Coturnix japonica: one gene and its partners. The protein of the gene in region 1 binds, or shares a complex with, the protein of each later gene. Links are inferred from orthologs where the notes say so. Each region holds a gene or a part of one and is shown in the gene's direction. Other genes may lie near its edges. The genes, in order: STRN3, STK26 and STK25.

Region 1 (3,648 bases):
TGTATGTCTTCTTTTTCCTTGGATGGATGTTTTAGGATAAGTGGAATGTAATCTTTTATGGTGGTTCTTCACACTCTGATTAATATATGTTATATTTGGAGATCTAAATTAGTCTTTGTTGCATTCACTAGAAGTTTTCTGGTAACATTTTTTTGAGATAATTAGCATTAATATTAAGTGTCTACAATTTGTGGGTTTTTATATCTTAATATAATAATATTTTTCAACATAGTCACCACCATTAGCTATGCATTTTCACCAGAGATGAACGGTGAGTGCATTTTTTTTTCCTGCATGGAGGAATTCAGTGTTTCACCTGTGCTTCAAATGCATTTGTGTCAGCTGTCAGTTTGTTAGGCTGCTCCTCTTCTGCAGTTTGTTGCACAGCAACAAAATATAATGGAATATTGTCAGAAAGTTTCAATCTCTACTGTCGTAACACCAGCATCCACTTATGATGTAGTGGGCCAATAACGTAAAATGTAGCTTTCAGAGCAGCCTTCATATTTTAACTGTTTCTCTGTACATGCCCTATCATGTAGAATTATTCAAGATTTGCATATGGTTCCTGTCATTCTTAGTCAAGATGTTAATCAAAGGAAGAGATCTGGGGACCTGGAGTTTATTTTAATTGTCTTTAAGTGATAATGGGCTTTTGAAAGTTGTAATCTCTTCCTTTGTTACAGAGTATATGATAAGCAATGAAATCGGTATTGGTTTTGTTTTTTTTTTTTCTGGGTAGAAGAATTAAGGTATTGTTGTACAAAAGGATTAAAACAGAAAAAAAATTGAAAATCTAAGCTTCTTCTTTGCATATTCAGTATTATGTTCTTTTCTACACTGGAACAAAAGAAGCTTCTGCAGTAGGAAAAAAATATATTGCAGACTTTCTTGCATGCCAGAGAGGGAGTTGCATATGCATATAGATCAATAGTGAAATGCATATTTGAGTATGCATCAACTGAATTAAGAAAAGCAAGCTTTTCTTAATGTACAAATACTTGTTATACATGGTTTTAAAACTCAATGTAATATAATGCCTTCTCTTTTTTAAGCTGCCAGCTAATAAAGATGCCTTCCGAAAGACATGGAACCCTAAGTATACGCTACGCAGTCATTTTGATGGAGTGCGGGCATTAGCTTTTCATCCTGTAGAGCCTGTGCTGGTTACAGCCTCTGAGGACCATACTCTAAAACTTTGGAATTTGCAGAAAACGGTTCCTGCCAAAAAGTAAGTGTATGGGTTTCATGAAGCATTAGTTCTGTTTTTAAAAGTCTTTGAAGTTGATTCTCTTAAAACTGTTAAATGCTTCTAGAGTTTTTCAGTAGAGACTTCATTTGGTGTAATAATGTTTCCTCTTCATCTTTCAGGAGTGCCTCTTTAGATGTAGAACCCATCTACACATTTAGGGCCCACATGTAAGTATTTATCAGAATTACTTGATAATTTTCTGATCTCCTGGATTCATAAAACACTATATAGACAAGATTATACTCTTTAAAACCAGATCGATACTGAATCCCTATCATCAATTGCGGACTCCACAATAAAATAAGAAGGAAGGAAATGTAGAAGATGATACTGGAATTGCCTGAGCAATGTTTTGGGCTGGGGCTTTTAATATGTAATACCTAAAGAAAATAGATAAGGTTGAATTCTAGTAGTCTGACATAGTAGCCCTCAGTTTTGAGAGGTGAAAAATACAGTTGCAGTCATCAAGAAAAAAAAAGGAATTAATGCAGGCTCGACATTCATTTATCCCTGTGTCGAAGCATGTAGGTGGATTCAACTAGCAGTATCTGTTTTCACCGGCTTAGAATATGTAATTTCAGTTTGCTAATCTGCACTTAAGACCAGTAAACTATATCTTAAGCATGACCTGTTGTGAGCCAGCCATCGAATTTTGGGATATTGTTTTACAAGACAGTTAAACCTGACTTAGTGTTATGTCCAAAGGTGCTGCTTCCTTCTGGGACACAGCTTGTCTAGTGTCCCTGCAAACAGGTTCAAGAAGTTAAACCAGCAGTAGTCTAGCCTTAACCAAGAAGTACTCCTCCTACGATTATTTTTCTGAGCCAGTTTTCTGAAGCATATGTTTCTGTCCATCTGAGAAAGTTCACAGTTTTAGTGGTAGGGAGCTAGAACAACCTCTTTCAGCACAGCTCATTTTTAGATAGGCATAGATTGTCTGTTTAAAAAAATAAATAAATGTATGTATACATTCCTTCCTGCTTTGCAGACTTAGTTTCTACTGTAGTAAGATTGTGTTCTTGAATTGCTTAAATTTTGATAATTGTTATATATATATTTTAATGTAGGTTTGTATAACTTGCTAAGACTTAAGGTTTTAACAGAATTTTTTAATCCAGGGTATTTGTTTTTGCCTTTTTAAAAAGAGATTGCGAAATTATAACTGTACTGTTGTCAGTACCAGTAAACTACTTATTCTCTGTCTCCCAATAGTGGACCTGTATTGTCATTGGCAATTAGTTCTAATGGAGAACAATGTTTCAGTGGTGGTATTGATGCAACCATCCAGTGGTGGAACATGCCTAGCCCTAACGTGGACCCATATGACACCTACGGTAAGCACCTTTTAAAAGAAAAGCAATCTATAGGTGTTGTCTTGGACACAAATTTTCCACTTGGCAACATGTTTTCGAAGCCTATTGCACAATGGGAATGCCACTTATCAAATGAATTGCGCTTTCAAATTTTGTATGCAATTACTGTTTGCTGCTAACTTCCGTTTGCATTAGTGACGTGTTGTCTATAGAACTGTAACAGAGAAAGTGGCAAATCGTAATGTTTAAATAATGAAGATATCGGTTGTATCCCTTTCTACGAGACAGGCTTTTTACTTTGGTTTTCCAAAATCTGGAATTTTAATGCTGTGTAGGCAAATTGTTTTTGCATTTCATTTCCCATAACCAGTGACTTAAATTGCTGTTAACTGTATGAAAAACTAGTTTGTCTCCCTTATGCTGGTGTGGTTCAGCAGTATCACATGTTACTGAAGTTTGAATTGGTTTAGAGGCAGGACTGTTGTGTATTCTTGCTCTTTTGGTTATGCCACTGTAGTAAGTGATCTGATACACCGCTCAGGCTGCAAAATCTGTACCAGTGAGGTGAAGAGAGGAAGCAATGCTGTCTTACATCAATTTAAAAAGACTAGTAAAGTGATCTTAAAATTTACATGGGCCTCAGGCAGTCACTACTGAAGTAACAAAGTAATTTTTAAAAGCCAGAGTTCTCTCAAGTTATTTTTCCTCCGTAGGGCTTTTGTTTGCAAGACTTTGTTTTAAATTTCACACAAAATTAAGTTTTGGAGATTTTTCACTTAGTCCTTTCCACCTACCTTTTTGTCTCTGTACTACTCACAGCCTGGTTTATTGAAAAACCCTCTATGAAAAGTAGCTGTAAAATATAGATATATTTCTTTGTTTCGCAACAAAAGTAAACTTGTTTCAATATTTGGGTGCCCAGATTCTTTAGAGCACCTATGAGTCAGCAGAGTACAGTAAGTTGGGGGGGGGGAAAAAGCAGTATTACAGTGAAGGCATCAGAGTTAGAGGAACTCAGAGTTTGAGTAACTGATGAATAGGCTGATCTTTTTTGTTTTAGGCGCTTTTACATCTTGCACAAAG
Region 2 (3,748 bases), on another chromosome or scaffold:
AGAAGCCTTTTACAGCTATGTGTTTTTTGAAGAGCACAGAGGGGTTGTAATACTTTAATAACGGTGAAGGCTGAACAAAGTGGCAAGTCAGAAAATAAAGTAATACCAGCATGAGCCACAAGTCTGTCCTTAGCTAACATCACTGCGAGTTGTTTTCTGGTTCAAACCACAGGGAGTTAAGGTTGGAAAGGCTGCTGAACGTTGAAATTCCTGGCGCTAGCACAGCCTTACCTTAAACAGAGGTGTTTTGTGCTCCTTGCCACAGTACAGCATTTCTCCATGTTGTAATGGAGAGAGACCTCCTTTGATCACACCCTTTCCGAAGGGAACCACCCTCTGGACGGGGTACGGACAACAGCCTGCTATCTCTACTGACCTTCCCATTGCTTGGCTTTCAGGCCCATGGAGCTGTGAATTTGAGCAAAGTCCTCAAGGATATTTGTATCTGAATATGAGTGTGACCACCGCTCATGATTCCTGTGCGCCTGCTCAGAAGGGGAAGACAGGCGTCATAAAAGATATCATTTTTAGCTTCACTTGAGTAACTGGCAAAACTTCAATGCATAGGAACGTGAATCATGCAACACGGAGAGGTGACTCACATACGAATGGGAAAAACGTCGCCCTAAAACAATGTCATTTTCTCCTGACCCACAGTGGAAGGAGAAGGTGAGGAGAGGCAAAATAAAAAGCCAAGAAAAGACCATAAACGTCCGCCGGATTATTCGCACAGGGGACAGCGATGTACGCGCACTGTGACCATGTTTGTGGGCACTGCGCTCGGTAGGACGGGGCCTGCAGGGGACAAGCATTGCCACAAGGCGCCTGGGGGGGACACAGCGCCGTGACAGCGCCGCAGGGCCCACGGCAGGGCGAGCATCCCCTGCCGAACAACACCGCGCTCACAGCCCCATCGCCACCCGGCCGCTCCTCCCCGCCCAGCCCGTAGGCGGGGGCAGTGACGCCGAGCCCCGTGCGGCGGCGGCGGCTCCGCCCCACGAGGCCGGAGCTGAGACGGAAGAAGCCGCCGCCGCACAGCAGCCTCCTCCTCCTCCTCCTGCTGCCGCCCGGGGCCCGACATGGCGCTGTGAGCCCAGCCCCAGCCGTGCACAGAGCCGTCACCCGGAGGGCACCGAGCAGCCGCCGTCCCCGCTTCGGGAGCGGGCAGGGGGGCATGGGCAGGGCCGCCGCGGGGAGCCCGGCGGGCATGGCACAGCGGCCTTAGGGGAGCCCTTCCCGCCCGCGTCGCGCAGCTCGGCCCCGCGGCCCCAGCGAGGTGAGTCGGCGGCGGGCGGGGCCGCGCGGGGAGGGAACGAGGGAAGGAGGGAGCGCGGCCCGCGCTGAAGCCGCTCCCCGCCGCTTTGTCCTTCCAGGCCCCGCCGCCGCCCAGCAGCAGGGAGGCCGAGAGGAGGGAGCAGCGGGCGGCGCCCGGCCGCCGTAGCCCGGCCATGGCCCACTCGCCCGTGGCGGTGCAAGTGCCCGGCATGCAGGTGAGCTCCGAGCCGCTCCGGTCCCAAAATGGAGGCGGCGGGCAACGCTCCGGCTCCGGAAGCGGCGCCGCGCGGAGGCCGCCGTTGGGTCGTGGGGAGTGCGGGCGGGCGGAGCGGGGCGGCCTGCAAGCGGGGAGGCCTCGCTCGGTATCGGGGGAGAGCGGGCCCGAGCCGTCGCGTTGCGGGAGGGGCTGCGCTGAGGTAGCGGCGGGCCCGGGGAGGAGCCGCGGTGCCGCGTACCTGCGGCCCGCACGGGGCTGAGAGCCCTTCTCCGCTTTGTTCGGGATGGGCCGCGACACGGAGCGTGGAAGAGCTTCTGAAATTGGTGAAAGGCCAAACGAAGTGAATCGGGGAGTGCGCTGCAAGTGACATATCGGCCCCGTGGGGCTGCCCACCGCCGGCGCTTGGGCCTGTAGCACTGAGCCCTGCTGCTCTGCCTGTAATGAGGGCCTGGCGCTCAGGGAAGGGTGCGAGTGGAGGTCCGATGTTTGTGCTGCGTGCCGCTGGGAGCCATCATCTGTCAGAAAATGCCACCTCTCCTTGGCTGGGAGCGAGGCCCGGTGTCCTTCGAGCGTTTGTGAAACTTGTTTAAACAAACAAACAAGCGATATGTAAGTGATTTTTCAGAGGGAGGCTGGGATAGCTGTGACTCTTCCTTCTTATTCTGCTGGACAGCCCCTTGTGAGTTTGGGTGCAGATCTTTATCAAACAAAGAGGAGCTGAGCTCATTTCAGCGCTGTTTTCTACCTGTCAGGCTGGCAGCTCTGTCAGCATTTTTGGCCTTTCTCTCAGCTTTTGGGGTTGGCTCACCTGCCCCATAGCTGAGGGACTGGGGGGTTGCTTTTCCTTTCCTCATTTCCAATAACAGAGAAGTCTTTATGATACATCAAAGTGAGATACACAGCTTGGAGTTCAGGTTTCAGATCAGAAGGTTGAAATTTCTCCTGGTTGGTTATCTTCCATGTTTTTTAGAGTGTAGAAGCGATGTATAAAGACCACTCCTATACTATTCTGCCTTGGATGCAATGCTGAGGTTTGGTTTACCTTTTTCACTTCTAGTAACTTAACGACCTTCTGAAATCAGTAAAATTTGATCGTGCAATTGTTGGTATAAGATGACATAAGCCACACTTTCTATCCTCCATCTTCTGTTAATGTTTTCATATTTGGAAGACTTCCTTTTTCAAGGTGCAAACTTATGAGCTCCTTATTGTCATACCTCCTTGATCCATTGCTGACCTATTTTCCATGGCTGCCTTGTCACCACCAAAGGACCTTGGAAATTATTTGAGGTCCTGTTTTCTGTTGTTAAACCAATAACGTTTATGTAATAGTTCCTTTAGTGCTGTTAGTTTAACCCAGATCTCTGAAGGTATAGACATATGTTTAAAACTCTCTCTGCTTTTTTAACTATTAGATATGTGCAGCTGTAAAGAATTAAGAAATAGCTTCTTTTGATGAAGACTATTACACAAGTCCAGACAATCTTGTAATACAAAGGAATTGGATTTGGTGCAAAATTACTCACCTCGCTGTTCCTTAAGAGGGATTGTAATACAGCTTAAGAAAGCAAACAAAAATCTCTCTTGCAAAGGTTGATAGTCTAAACCTTGCTTTTTCCCCCCTCCTTTTAATACCTATTTGAACTGTTCATTCAAGATCATCCAAGTGATTACGAAAGCATCCCTGCATCAGCTCAGTGTTAAAATAACTCATGGCTACTAAAGAAGGAATGAACAGGTTTGCCTGTGAAGGAGGGAGATCTAATAGCTGTATTAAAACTAGCACCGTGCACAAGTGCATGTCATGTCACGCTCCTTGTTTGCAGCCTGTGTTGAGGGAAGTGTTTTCACCAAATATAACAGATTGAAACAGAATCTGCCAGAGAATGTGTTTCAGGTATGAATCCTTCAGTTTTACTGTAATCCTATGATTTCCATCCCAAACAAACAAATCAGGCTCTAAAAAGACATTACCAGTTTATCACCGAAGCATTACACAAGCTCTTCTGGCTGTTTTAAGATCTCTTAAATGTTTTATAGCTGAAAATACTGCAGGTCCCATAGAGTTGTTTTGGTCAACTCGAACTCTGCCTGTGAGTAGTATGACAACAATGGAAGACCCAGAGGTAGTATTATCTGCTGCCCTTATGAATAGTTCCAGAATGATGTGTTTGTGTAGTGGTTGCATTCTGTTGAACCTGTCTCATGTCCTTGACAAAACCAGATGTTATACCACACAATTCATGCCTGTGCAAA
Region 3 (3,748 bases), on another chromosome or scaffold:
TGTCTCTCTGAGTGCTCAGTGAGTGCCAGCTCTATCCCCAGGTGCTGGCTGATGTGCAGCTCACCCTCATCACCGGCTCCTGTCATTCACCCTGTTTAAGCAGGGGCACCCTGGGGTCTCCTGTTATCAGGGCAGTGAGAAGAGACCAGCTGGGAAGGCAAAGTATCCCTGCAGATCCATCAGCTGTATCCATTCCTGCCTAAGCAGAGCACAGACGTCTGCGAGGGTTTAAGATTCAGCTTCATCAGCTGTTTTCTGCTGCTGCACAGGAACATGGTTTGGAAGAACAAGCGCTCTGTGCTCTCAGCTTGGAAGGAGCCTGGCTTAATTTGAGGATTAGTCACTGGGAGGGAAAAGATGCTGAGCCAACCCAGGAGTCAGCTCCACACGGAGCTTCACAGCTGCAAGAGCCACTCCTGCTTATTCCACTTCAGCAGCAGAATTGGGAGATAAAGGCCCTTTTCTTTGCTGAACACTCAAAAGAGTCTTAAGAGCCATGATATCAGCAGGGAAAGAGAGTCTCGCAACACTGAGCCTTGTAGTTATAGTCTGCAGGCAGGAACAAGAGTGCTGGAGCTCTAGCAGCCTGATGCAGCTTCTATACACCTAAAGGCTCTGGAAGGGGAACCATAGGAGCAAATGGGCTTCTGCAGCACTCAGTGTGTTCTTTTTGGCAGGGACAGGTTCCCTTTAAAGCTGATCCTTGTAGGAGATGCAAGGACAAGGTTTAAGGCCCGGAGCAGCTTATGGCTGCCATCACACAGCGGTGACTTCATGCCTACCAGGTGGAGTGCAGCCCATCAGCCCAATGCCTTGCACCGAAGGGACGAGCACTTCGGTTTGGAGCTCTGTCTCCCACTACTGTGGGCAGCTCATCGCACGGCTGTGCTCAATGCTCCAGCTGCCATTGGGGCCGAGCTGTTACCGTGCATCCCCACGGGGCCGCGCGGGGCTCAGCGCTGCGATCCGCGGTTGCCACCTGGTGGCAGCGACAAAACAACCCAAAGCGGGTCCGTGTTCATAGACCCACCCGGCAGCCCTGACCGCTCCCGGAGGCGGCCATTAGCCGGGCAGGGCCGTTCATTATGGCTTACCCTAAAGGCAGCCGTCACAAGCACCGACCCCCATCACCGACCCCTATCGCCGCTCCCCGACACCCGCCGCACGTGGGAGCTGTAGCCCGCACCTCCCCTTCCCTCGGCCCCTCCTTCCGCCCCGCGCACAGCCCGCCGGGACATGCAGTCCGTAGGGGCGGCCCCATTGTATCTCTGGGCGGGGCTAGAACTACATCTCCCAGCAGGCATCGCGGCGCGGCCTCCCCTCCCGCTTCCTCCCGGCGGCGCGGCCGAGCTCGGTGTCCCGGGGCGGCTGTTGTCGGCATGGCGGCGCACGGCGCTGCGCGGGGGGAACCAGGGCCGTAGGTGGGGGCTGGGGGAAGGGGGGACAACAAGGGGCGGAGCGGGGATGGCGGGGCGAGACGGGACCGGGCAGAGCCGCCGTGTTGTCTCCCGCAGCTGAACGCCGAGGAGCGCGGCCCCACGGATCCAGCATGGCGCACCTGAGGGACTTCGGCAGCCAGGTAAGGGCCGCCCCGTGCACAGCTCCCATCTCCCCGCTGCACATCGATCCCCGCTTTGTTTGCTGCTGGCTGCTGCCCACGGCCTTCATATGGGGCCGCTCTGCTGCACGGCAAACCGCAATGGACACCGGGCTCTGTAGCCTCAGTGCTGCCGGTCGGTGTCACCGTCGTAAGGTCTCCTCCATCCCGTGTGATGCCGTGTGAGGCCTCAGGGGCTGTAGGTACATCCCGCTGTTGTGATGGCACGAGGTGATGTCATGACTCAGGGCTAAAAGCTGGAGCACAGAATGGTATCAGCTCGGATCGGCTTTCTTCTGGGCTTGGCTGTGGGTATGTGTGATGGTTGGCAGGTGTCAGTGCATTGTGCTGATCCCTAGGGAGAAATCTGGGTGCTTTTCTTTATATAGAGTCATAGAGGAGACACTTGATGGCCATCTGCTCTAACACCCTGCACCGAGCAGGGACACATACAGCTCCATCAGGTGCTCAGAGCCCCGTCCATCCTGACCTTGGGTGTTTGCAGACATGGGGCACCACCACCAATCTGGGCAACCTGTGCCAACGCTTCACCACCCCTACTGTAAAAAACTTCATTATCAATATCCAGCTTGAGTCTTTCCTCTTAGTTTGGGACCGCTTTCCCTCATCCTATCACAGCAGGCAGAGTCTGTGTCCTTCCTTCTTACAGCCCTGCTTCAGGTACTGAAAGGCCACTCTCAGGTCCCCCCAGAGCCATAGCATCACAGAATGGCCTGGGTTAAAAAGGACCATAATGATCATCCAGTTTCAACCTCCCTTCCACAGGCAGAGTCACCAACCACCAGACCAGGCTGACCAGAGTATTTTATGCTTCTAGGTGTACTTCAGTGGTTTGAGGTGATGCTTCCTCCAAACCTTTCCTGGTTTAAAATTGATTTGCAGTGCATCTTTGCTTTGCATGCTGCCTTTCACACACACCGTTTCCTCAAAGTACTGGTGGAATTGAATGCAAATTTAGTGCCTGAATGAGTCACGCTGCAGGGAGAGAAACGAAGGAATGAAGAAGGATACTGCCTGCTCAAGGCAGGGAGCTGAGCTCTGTTGGTGCAGTGTCTTGCTCTGAGTAGAGCTTTGTTTTTAGGCAGCATTCAATAATAGAAGCTATCAAAGTTCTGGTTATCTAATCTGTACATTAGGCAGATGTCAGGTGTTTTATCAGAGTTTGTCATACTGTGATAACTCCAGTGCTAAAATAGGAAAGCAGTATGTGTTATCTATCCCTTCCTTGAGTCTCTTCTGGAATCCTCGGTGGCACCTCATAATCTGTTTAATTGAGGCTTCTTGGAAGAGCAGCAGGAATTGGCCTGAAGTTCTGTGTAGCAATTAGATCGGTGCAATGGGAAAGGCATTACATCAAATGTGTGATGATGATGGAAGGGCTGGCACAACAGAGAGGTGCTACAAAGGAAAGAAAGAAGATTGCTCACCTGGATCAGAAGAGTCTCAGTTTGCAGAGGAAAGCTTCACCAAGGAGAGACCTCCAGAAAAAGATCCTTCCCCAGAGGCAGTCAGCCCTTAAATGGGGTCTAAGAGAGATGCAGCCAGGCTGTACCCCTTCTAGTCTCACTGCTGCATTGCCTTCACCTGTGCATCCAGGGCTGGCCAGGTCCTTTGCCCAGGTGCTCAATCAATGGTTCAGGCTGGGACTCGACAGTTTCCATACATTCTGTTAGCCAAGTTTTAAGCAGTGGTGAGGAGGTGCTGTAAAAATAAAGAGACATACGACTTGGATTGGAATGTAAGGGCCTTCACTTGTCTCTGGTTCCTTATCTATTGCCCATGTGCCGGATTACCTTAGGCAGATCCCTAAGCTGCTTTATCTCAGTGCCTCTGCCTAGGCCAGCTAGGTACTCTCTTCTCTTGGTTGACCTTTGCTGTGTACATACAGCACAGTGGGCCTTTGTTGGGTGCTCTACCCTCTCGATGATGTATTTGCACTGCAGTCTTTAAAGCTCTGAATCCAGCTGTGTTCCCAGTTCTGTTGTTCCTGTAGGCAGCCTTGTTCTTGTCATGGTCTGTCTCCTCTACCACCCTTGCCTGAGCTGCTTTGTTCCTCAGAAAGCATGATACAGCTACCTCAAAGTATAGACGCTTCTTCAGGAAGCTGCCTGTGATGACAGAGCCTGCAAC

What was found.
Region 2: STRN3 (region 1) and STK26 share a complex: the UniProt entries of both Homo sapiens proteins name them as parts of the core of STRIPAK complex. The link is inferred for Coturnix japonica from reciprocal best matches to the Homo sapiens genes STRN3 and STK26.
Region 3: STRN3 (region 1) and STK25 share a complex: the UniProt entries of both Homo sapiens proteins name them as parts of the core of STRIPAK complex. The link is inferred for Coturnix japonica from reciprocal best matches to the Homo sapiens genes STRN3 and STK25.

Annotation. Positions count from the first base shown.
Region 1 is NC_029520.1:30,893,792-30,897,439, forward strand, and holds part of STRN3 (striatin-3), read left to right. Parts: intron 1-1,055; coding exon 1,056-1,231; intron 1,232-1,371; coding exon 1,372-1,419; intron 1,420-2,464; coding exon 2,465-2,586; intron 2,587-3,648. UniProt on the Homo sapiens protein: Calmodulin-binding scaffolding protein which is the center of the striatin-interacting phosphatase and kinase (STRIPAK) complexes.
Region 2 is NC_029519.1:3,339,657-3,343,404, forward strand, and holds the start of STK26 (serine/threonine-protein kinase 26), read left to right. Parts: upstream 1-996; 5' UTR 997-1,276; intron 1,277-1,330; exon of another isoform or gene 1,331-1,373; 5' UTR 1,374-1,448; coding exon 1,449-1,490; intron 1,491-3,748. UniProt on the Homo sapiens protein: Serine/threonine-protein kinase that acts as a mediator of cell growth. Modulates apoptosis. In association with STK24 negatively regulates Golgi reorientation in polarized cell migration upon RHO activation.
Region 3 is NC_029524.1:3,907,623-3,911,370, reverse strand, and holds the start of STK25 (serine/threonine-protein kinase 25), read left to right. Parts: upstream 1-1,291; 5' UTR 1,292-1,421; intron 1,422-1,514; 5' UTR 1,515-1,549; coding exon 1,550-1,579; intron 1,580-3,748. UniProt on the Homo sapiens protein: Oxidant stress-activated serine/threonine kinase that may play a role in the response to environmental stress.